2 linked regions of the Cricetulus griseus genome follow. The protein of the gene in region 2 purifies or fractionates together with the protein of the main gene of each other region. This does not show direct contact. Links are inferred from orthologs where the notes say so. Each region holds a gene or a part of one and is shown on either strand. Other genes may lie near its edges.

Evidence for each region.
Region 1: the proteins of Amfr (region 2) and Erlin1 purify together in Homo sapiens (affinity purification with mass spectrometry; 3 studies listed by BioGRID and IntAct, with this or other methods). This does not show direct contact. The link is inferred for Cricetulus griseus from reciprocal best matches to the Homo sapiens genes AMFR and ERLIN1.

Annotation. Positions count from the first base shown.
Region 1 is NC_048596.1:17,483,068-17,487,551, reverse strand, and holds the start of Erlin1 (erlin-1), read right to left. Parts: upstream 3,024-4,484; 5' UTR 2,925-3,023; intron 2,903-2,924; exon of another isoform or gene 2,656-2,902; coding exon of another isoform or gene 2,637-2,655; coding exon 2,524-2,636; intron 852-2,523; coding exon 770-851; intron 1-769. UniProt on the Homo sapiens protein: Component of the ERLIN1/ERLIN2 complex which mediates the endoplasmic reticulum-associated degradation (ERAD) of inositol 1,4,5-trisphosphate receptors (IP3Rs).
Region 2 is NC_048596.1:170,204,006-170,208,434, forward strand, and holds the start of Amfr (E3 ubiquitin-protein ligase AMFR), read right to left. Parts: upstream 2,991-4,429; 5' UTR 2,867-2,990; coding exon 2,612-2,866; intron 1-2,611. UniProt on the Homo sapiens protein: E3 ubiquitin-protein ligase that mediates the polyubiquitination of lysine and cysteine residues on target proteins, such as CD3D, CYP3A4, CFTR, INSIG1, SOAT2/ACAT2 and APOB for proteasomal degradation.

The sequences.
Region 1 (4,484 bases), about 150 Mb from region 2:
GCACAAGCCCTAAAAGGGGACTGGAAAGAAACCTGGGAGAGTTAGCTATTCATGATAACTCTTACTTAGCACAAAGCTGAAAATTTCAGTGATAATATTAATAAAATTGACTTTTCCTGTTTCCTGAAAAATCTGTAGCAGAATTCAAAGATTTATGATATCACTGAGTTTGCAAAATTAGTTAGAGCCTAATCCTATTTTGCCATCTTGTAATATCAAGCTTATTTATTAACTGTGTCCTATGGCCAAGATACTTTATGCAAGAACCAGATACTTAATTCAAATATCCTAAAATGTTAAAGTACCATATGCACTCAGGTTCCTCATAAATTTGTGTTTAATGCACCAGGCAAAAATGTGAGGCCCGAAAAGCTGTGTATAAAAATTCATTCCTCCATGTTAACAGTAGCCTAGGAGCCTGCCTCTATGGAAACCAAACAGTTCTAAACCAAGTAATTACTGATTTGTATTCCTAATTGTGTTCCCACTTCTTACTTTTATTTTGACTGAAGTAACAGAAAACCTGCTAACACCATTGTATAGATGGCAGGAGTAAGTCTTGATAAGCTGCCTAATGCATACTTTCAACTCACTTTAAGGCAAGAAGGTTTGAAATCAATGCTTGTGTTAGGACAGTTGTACTCTGAACTTTCACTCCACATTAAGTAAATAACAACATTTGCTTAAGCAATAAGGAAATCCATCTCCACCCACAAGTGTGGTAACTCCTGTCACACCTGTCTATCTGGAGTCCCTAGGAGTCACTCACCTGCACAGATCTGAACGTAGTAATGAAAGGCAACATGATATGATAGCCTGGTCCACTGGGGCTAGTTAGTAAGGCTCCGCCCCTGCAAAAAGATGTCGTGGTTGACAAAACTGCAAGTAAGAGAAATTCTCTTCCCAATTCTAAAATGCTATAGTAAACATTCACTGTTACTCATGTTACTAACCTAATGGCCTTACAACAGAGTTACTCAAGATTAACAACTGCTACTTAAAACATCCATCACACTTAAAAATGTGAAAATACATCAAAGTCAACTGCCAATATTGCACCTTGTTTCATAAGCTCCACCAACCACACCACTGGGTCTCTAGCACTGCTCTTGGGCCCACATCCTCTCCGGTAGGTCTTTAGCTTTCTGACAAATACTTATGGAAAAACTCTAATGACTCTCAATTAAGGTATCTTAATTGCACATAACAAGAGGCCAAGTCAAAACAATACATCTAATCACTAAGTTTTAAAAAAGAGGAAAGCAAATTTTCAAAGGAGGAAAATTTCTGAGGCTAATGACTCTTTTAATACATCATTAAAATCCTAGGACAGAGCTTCTGTCTGTATAAAGGAAACAAAAAAAAAAAAGCATGGAAAGATGGATGGCAAGAGGATTCAGAGTATAGGTGAGACACACATTTGTTCATCAGATTCTGGACCATGTGGACTTTGAAAACACCCCCTGGAAATGATGAAGAATAGGTGTTTAGGGACAAATACATCAAAAAAGCCCTATTTTATTCAATGAATAGTAAATTCACACATTGATCCTTGCCCTGAATGTACAAACAGGTTTGAAAGTCATAATTAAAAAGATAAACTGTTTCAGGTTCATCACTTATTTTGGGGGGAGTAATATCTTCATATATTCTCTTTGTGGTTCCCCTGTTGGAAGGAAAATGACAAGCTGGACAGAAATGTGGTCCAGGCTGGCACTTCTTATGCTAGAATTCCATCTGTTAAGACATACCACCAAAATCGTACTTTTTCTAGGACTCAGGAGGGATCTAAAAGTAGAAATACCAGTGTGTGTGGGGGGGGGGGGAGTGATGGAAATAAGCAGAAATCTGCTTTTTCTAAACAAACTCCTATCCCGATTTGTCCATACCAAAAGGAGCAGGTGGTAGTTCATACCGAAGAAAAGCTATGCCGAGTAAACCAGGCGGCAACACTGACCACACTCTTCCTCAGCTTGACTTGGAAAAAAGGGGGAAAGGTGGCCTATAAATGTGATTTTTGTCTCTTTTGACTTTAGGGACACACCAGTGTCATGTTCATTAAGATTTTGGGAGACATAACCAGATATACTGGGAGATTTTTAATGAAGGAAACAAAAAAAAAAAAAAAAAAAAAAGCCTTGAAGTCCAAAGCTACACAGAGAAATCCTGTCTCGAAAAGCAAAAAACAAAACAAAACAAAATAAAAAAACAACTTGAAGAAGGACCAGAGATCCCGAAAAGCATCATCTACAGTGGCAAAGCAAACACCTGTACAGTTGTTCGGACTACGAGTTAGAATTCAAGTCATCTAGGTTGCAGTGACAACTTCCTTCCCTCCTTAGGAGTCTCCAGCTCTGCACAGAACCAACTTGGCCCTAAGCTGCCCGGCACCCGAAGGTGCCCGGCCACAGGTGACTTGTGCCAGCAGCTGGGACGAAAGCCCTTCCGAGGGCTGCAGCGCTCGCTGCCCCGGGACCACCGGCGCGTGCGCGGCCGCCTCGGGGCGCTCGCTCGCTCGCTCACCTGTAGTACACGGCCAGGTGTCCCTCCTCGATCCTGTGGATGGCGGCGTAGAGGAGGACCACCACCAGCGCCGCCACCGCGGCCACCAGAACCCGGGCTTGAGTCATGTTCATCCTTGTCCCTCCTGGGCATGGGAAGCACAGGAGCCTCAGTGCCCTGAGTGACAGGCCGGTCCCCACCCTGCGAAGAGCCCGCGTCCGGTCGCGGGCTGAGGCGGGAAGCCCCGCGCGCCGGCCCCTGGCTCGCCCCTCGCCAGCCCCCGCGCCGCCGCCGCCGGCGGCCCCGGCTCGGCGCACGTCGTGACACCCCTGCCCCGGCTCCCCCGGCGGAGGACGGCTTCAACAGGGGACGGCCCTGGCCTCGGGCACCCGGGGAACCGCGACCCCTCAGCCGCGCCTCACCGGTCAGTGACGCATCGCCCCCGGCCGCACGTGCAGCCGCCTCCCGGCCCCGCCAACTGCTGCCAACAGCCGGCCCCGCCCACCTTCCCGGCACTGCGGCTGCGCGCGCGGGGACGCACGCGACGCAGCCCCCGCCCGCGACTCGCGAGACGGTGAGCGGGCGGGACAAAATTGGCCTAGGCGCACCCAGCGCGGTGCTTCCCAAAGCCTTAGTCGCGGGCGGTTGAAGTCGCTTGGCTGGCGTTGACCCCTGGGACCGGGGCTAGTGCTGGCGCTCCGGTCCCGAGGACTCAGCCCCTCAGAGTAGGGGTTGTCCCTTCATCCTTGTACGGTCTGTATCTAGCCTAACTGGCAAGGGACGCGCGTTCTTCAGCTGCACATCCCATCCTGCACTAAGGAAGCTGCCAGACCAGACTCGAGGAACGAGGGGTGTGCGTCCAGCGGAGGAATCTGTGTATTTAATCACTCAAGCTTGGGTTGAGTATTTTGTGCTACACCAGAGTGTTTTCTGAAGGCCACCCAGAAACAGGAACAGGAACAGAGTGGAGATCCGGATTGTCTTGTCAGGAGGCCAACGTGAACAGTGAAGGCTTGTTTTTCCGCGAAGGAAAAACGGTGGAGAGTATGGTAGGCTAGGCTAGAACCAGATTAAAGTCTGGGGTGCTCTTTTCTGCTGATAGAAGAACTGGATGGCAAGGAGATGGACTTTTTATTTGCTTGGGTGTTTTGCCTACATGCATGTCATCCCGTGTGCCTGGTGCCCTCAGCAGTCAGAAGAGGGCATCGGATCCCCAGGAACTGGAGCTAGAGAACTGCCACATGGGTGCTGGGAATCGAACCAGGGTCCTCTGGACCAGCAGCCTGGGCCCTTAGCCTGAGCCGTCTATCCAGATCCCTGAAACTTTTATCTCACTGCGAATTATTAAATTTCACACCATGTGGACCTAGTGAGACGGCTCAGTGGGTAAAGGTGTTTGAGGACATGCCTGATAACTTCATTATATCCCTAGATTCTACATAGAAGTGAAAAGTGGAGACCGACTCCATGAAGTCGTTCTCTGAGCTCATCACACAACAACAGACACAATAATAATAATTTGTATATAAAGTTTAGGGAAAAAACCCCACACCATGTGTATATGAACAAAGAAAAAGAAAAAGAAAAAAAAAGGGTAGTTTAGAGATGTATGAGCACGTGGGAAATAAAGTCATCCCAGTTCATTAAGGGCAGAAATGAGACAACTGGACAAGAGTGGAAGGATTTCTGAACTCCAGTGCAGGAAAATACCAGAAAGCAGTCTCACTGAGAGTGAAGAAAGACAGGAAGCTGGGAAACAAAGAACAGCAGGCCCAAGGTTATGGTGCTAACTAACCTCACTCCAGTCAAGTCCCATCAAAATGGACCTATGGCAAATCCTTGCACTGATGATTGTTTGTTTTTTCAAGACAGGGTTTCTCTGTGTAGCTTTGGAGCCTGTCCTGAACTTGCTGGAACTCTCTGTAGACCAGGCTGAACTTCAACTCAAAAAGATCCCCCAACCTCAGCCGCCAGTGCTAGGA
Region 2 (4,429 bases):
AAGAATATGTTCACATGTATACATGTATAATTCATAGAAATGAACAGTGTAAACGACTTGAGACCATCTGGATTTTTCAGAGGTTCCCACTTCAGGTCAGCACAAGAAGCTGGCAATGGGAAACTGCTATCACTTTTGTTTCCTTTGGCCTTTGAAATATGAACTTGTAGAATCTGTCCTTTAAATTTTTAAGTTTAGAACTGACCTGACCAGAGATTCCACCTACTTTTCTCACCGAATAAGGCAGAGGAGTGACAAACCAAAGATGGCTAAAATCAGCTACAAGTTAGCCTGGGCTCCACAGCTGGAGCAGTAAGAGCTTCAAAGGTTTCTCACCTTTCTCACAGCAGGGTTACCTCCTGTTACCTCTCCTTCCCACCCTCTCAGTCTCCCTTTTAAGTCACAAAAGTTGCCCAAGACAGGGGTCACTGCTCCCCAAACAACACTGAGCCTTACATACTGTTTTCCCCAGTTCACTCTCCCAAGGCTGTGTCCACACCACCTGCTGTCAATCCTTCCCCACACAGCATTCCTTTCTCCTACCTCCAAACCCCACTGGGTTTTGTGTATCTATCATCACCTATCATATTTTGCCTTATTTACATATGAGTCATTTGAGGGTTGGGGGATAGTGCTCTTCACAGCTGTGTCTTCCAGAGTGTTGGGAATAGCATCTCTGGAAGGTCTGAACGGAGTGTGCTAATACAAAACTTTCTGTAATTCTAAACTGTGTTCTGCAAAGACAAGTTCTGGAGAGCCTAATAAACAATATAACTAGTAAGATTTGCAACTGACAAAGGGCCACTTCTTGTCTATCTAGCTTGACTTTGGCAGTGTTTCATTTTTGTTTTTATGGGGGGGGTAATATATAAATACCTGTGAGTGGGGCTCAAGGCCCACCACACAGTCACTCAGTAGTTACCTGTCACACCACGGGGGTGGGGAGGTGGGGGTTTGGGGGGGGGAAGTGCTGAAGCAAACTGCTAAAGCACTAAGTTAGTACTAGGTGATAAAGAAAATTCAGTGCACTGGGCAACCACAGTACGACCAAAATGAGCATGCCCAAACTCCAGAAGAGATGGAAGAAAAACTGCATGAAATTCAAGTGAGAAATAAGGGCTTCTGGGGGGAGAGGTGGGACGATCAATTGATCAATTTGCATGCAACAAGACTGTACGAAGAAAAAAAAAATTCTTAAAAACGATTCTCAGAAAAACCAAAGGCCTTAGGTAATGTTTCATGAAGTGGTATTAACCTTGGAATTTGAACGTGGGTTTTGCAAGAAGAAACTTTTTTACGGAAAAAAAAAATCATTAAACAATACTATTGGCTGTTCTATGGGTTCAATAGTGGTTCCTTTCAAAGTCCTGCTTTTCTCAGACTTAAAAACTGCATCAAGGACTACACTATAGCCTTCACTTTTGTCAAAAGCATTCGTCAAATTTTTCTAAATTGTTTACCCTTTGACTCAAATGCAAAAAGATTTGAAATTAAACAAGATGTGAACTGAATTCTTTCCCCCCATCTTTGGTAAAGACAAGTTCATCTTTACACAGGAGTAGGGAAATGTGAACCTCACCCTTCAGTGTCTTCTATTAAACTATTCATCAAAGGACCAGGAGGCTTAATCTACAGCCCCCGGAGTTCACAAATCCCACTGCTTCCTGATGAAGCACAGTGGGAATAATTATAACAAATGAGTTGCATATATTCTACAAACGTAGACTATTAACCCCTCAGTCATTTACAGCCTACTGTAAACGCCAAACAAGAACACGGAGGAGATAAGAATCCCAAAAGCCATAGTAAATCCAAGTGACAAATTATAAATCCTGGAGCAACTTTTCTTTTTTCTGAGGGTTTATAGAAGAGGCATTCAAGTGCAAGGTGAAACCAACATTTTCTCGCAGCCGCCCAGCCTGAAATGATGTAATAAACGAAGACAGTACTTGTGTCGTGTGAACGTTGCTAATCACGCACGGGCAGAAAAACTAGAAACCTTGTTTTAAAATGGATCGTAAACGGAGAGAACGCGTTCCAAGGAGGCGCTGCCACACGGAACAGAATGTTTTGCTGCCTTCGGTCATCAAAGGGAACAGTCACCAACCATCAGGTATAAGAAAAAAAAGGACGCAGCTGGTTTGTTTGCTTCGTTAAATAGCGCCCACAGGAGGGTAATCCATTACCAAATAGCAACATTTCAAAGTTGTCTTGTTCAGAGAATAACTGTCCCAACCCGTTCAAATGCTTAAAATGTCCCCCAAACTCTCGGCCCTTTCTTCATGGAGAACCGGCCCACAACATCGCCGAGCTGGACGCGACTTGCCCCGGCTCCTCACAGCCTCCGGTCGCGCCCCGCTGTCTTGGAGTCCCCGGCCCGACCGCCCTTCCCTCGGCCCTTCTTCCGGGCGGCTCGACCCCATCCCTCCGCGGCTCGCCGTGCTCGCAGCGCCTCTCGGCCTCCAGCCCCCCGCGAGGGTCAGCCGCACGGCCTCCTCAGCCGGGTCAGGGCCGGGCCACGCCCCCCGCAGATAAAGGGTGACATGGCGGCCCCCCGCTTCCCCGCTCGCTCTCCCGCCCGCCCCCGCGCCCGGCCCGCAGCCTCGCTCACCCACACGAACAGGCTGTCCGACAGCAGGTACTGGGCCACGTCGCGGGCCCGGGGACCGCCGGCGGCCAAGCGCGGCGGCACGAGCGCCTCGGGCTGCAGCGAGGCCGTTAGCGGCTCCGGCTCGCCTGACCCGGCCTCCGGCTGGCTGAGGGCGCGATAGGCGCTGACGATGGTGCCTAGCAAGGCCAGGCCGCTGAGGCCCGTGTAGGTGCGGAGGCTGGGCCACGGGAAGCGCTCGAGGAAGAGCAGCGGCATGGCGGCGGCGGCGAGCTCCGACACCCGGGGCTCCCCGCGCTGCGGCCAGGCGCCTGCGGCAGCCTCGCGAACGGCGCCCACGGGCTCTGGCGTCGCTGCCGCCGCCGCCGCTCGGGGCCGGGCCGGCCGCTCCTGGCTGCTCGCGCCGCTCCGCCCCGCGCCGCTCCCGCTGCTGCCCCTGCCGGCGCGGAAGAGCCTCGCGGAATCGGGGCGGGCCGCCGCCCCTAGCGGGACGCGGGCGGGACGAGCGCGGGGGCGCGGCCTTCGTCCCCCGCCCCCAGCGGGCGCGCCGCAGCCCTACCGGCACAGCACCCGGCCTAGTGCCCCGCGTCCCGGCCCCCTGCAGCATCCTTGGCGACCCTGGGCCCACTGACGCCGCCTACGCGCCCCAGCCGGGCTCTAGAGTGAGCCCGGCCCGTGGGCAATGACGGCAGGCCTGTGTGCGTGCCCAGGCGGCAAGGTGCGGTACGCAGGCCCCTGGCCTCTGGTCCCTTGTTCTCCCAGGTAAAACAGGTAAACCCTTGGTCCCACCACCCTGTGGACTAGCAGTTTCCATGGTGTCCTAAAGGGGAACACGATGTTTAGGAAATAATAGAAGCCCTGACCATTTCTTTAACCAAGTCTTAAGTCTGTTTACAAATAACTGCGAGTAGACTATTTTTAAAACGGAGCCAGTTTAACAGGAAATAAAAATATGTTCCCGCTTATGCTACAAGTAGAATGTAAATGGTACATCCTGGAAAATGCCTCTTCCTCAAAGGTAAACCAAAGAGTGACCATTGGACGCGACAGTTACCTGGCTTAAATATCTAAGAAATGAAAACATACACCCACGAAAAACAACTACACAGAGGTTGACAGTAGCATTATTACCAAATTTACCCAGAGGGGAAAAACTCCAATGGAATATAGTGTTTGAAAATGACGTACGGATACATGCTACAATATAAGAGAACGTTGAAGACATGCCTGAGTAAGCCAAACACAAGTATCTACTTCGTGATCCCACTGATAAGGCAAATACATGGAATGTAGAGTAATGACGAGTAAAAGGGGAACATGAGAGAACTGGAGGTGACAGCTAAAGAACAAACTGTGGTACTAGTTTCCTGAAGTGATGGTGTTCTAAAATTGCTGTTATACACCTAAAAGACACCGAATTATACACTATAAACATCGAGTTACATCGCTATATACGAAGTACATAAAATAACATGAGGTACACTCTTTTTAGTCATTATATCCCCCCACCATTCGGTAGTGCCTATCCCTGAATGTATGCTCTGTAAGTAGCTGGTGAATTTTCCAAATTTTCTTTTTCTTTCTTTCTTTTTGTTTGTTTTCAAGACAGAATTTCTCGGTGTAGCTTTGGAGGCTGTTCTGGAACTAGCTCTTGTAGACCATGCTGGTCTCGAACTCACAGAGATCTACCTGCCTCTGACTCCCAAGTACTGGAATTAAAGGCATGCGCCACCATCTCCCAGCTCTGTTTCTTCTTACAGAATTAGTAGCTCATAGTTTTTTTGGTTTTTTGTTTTTTTGTTTTTTTTTTTTTAAGTCACT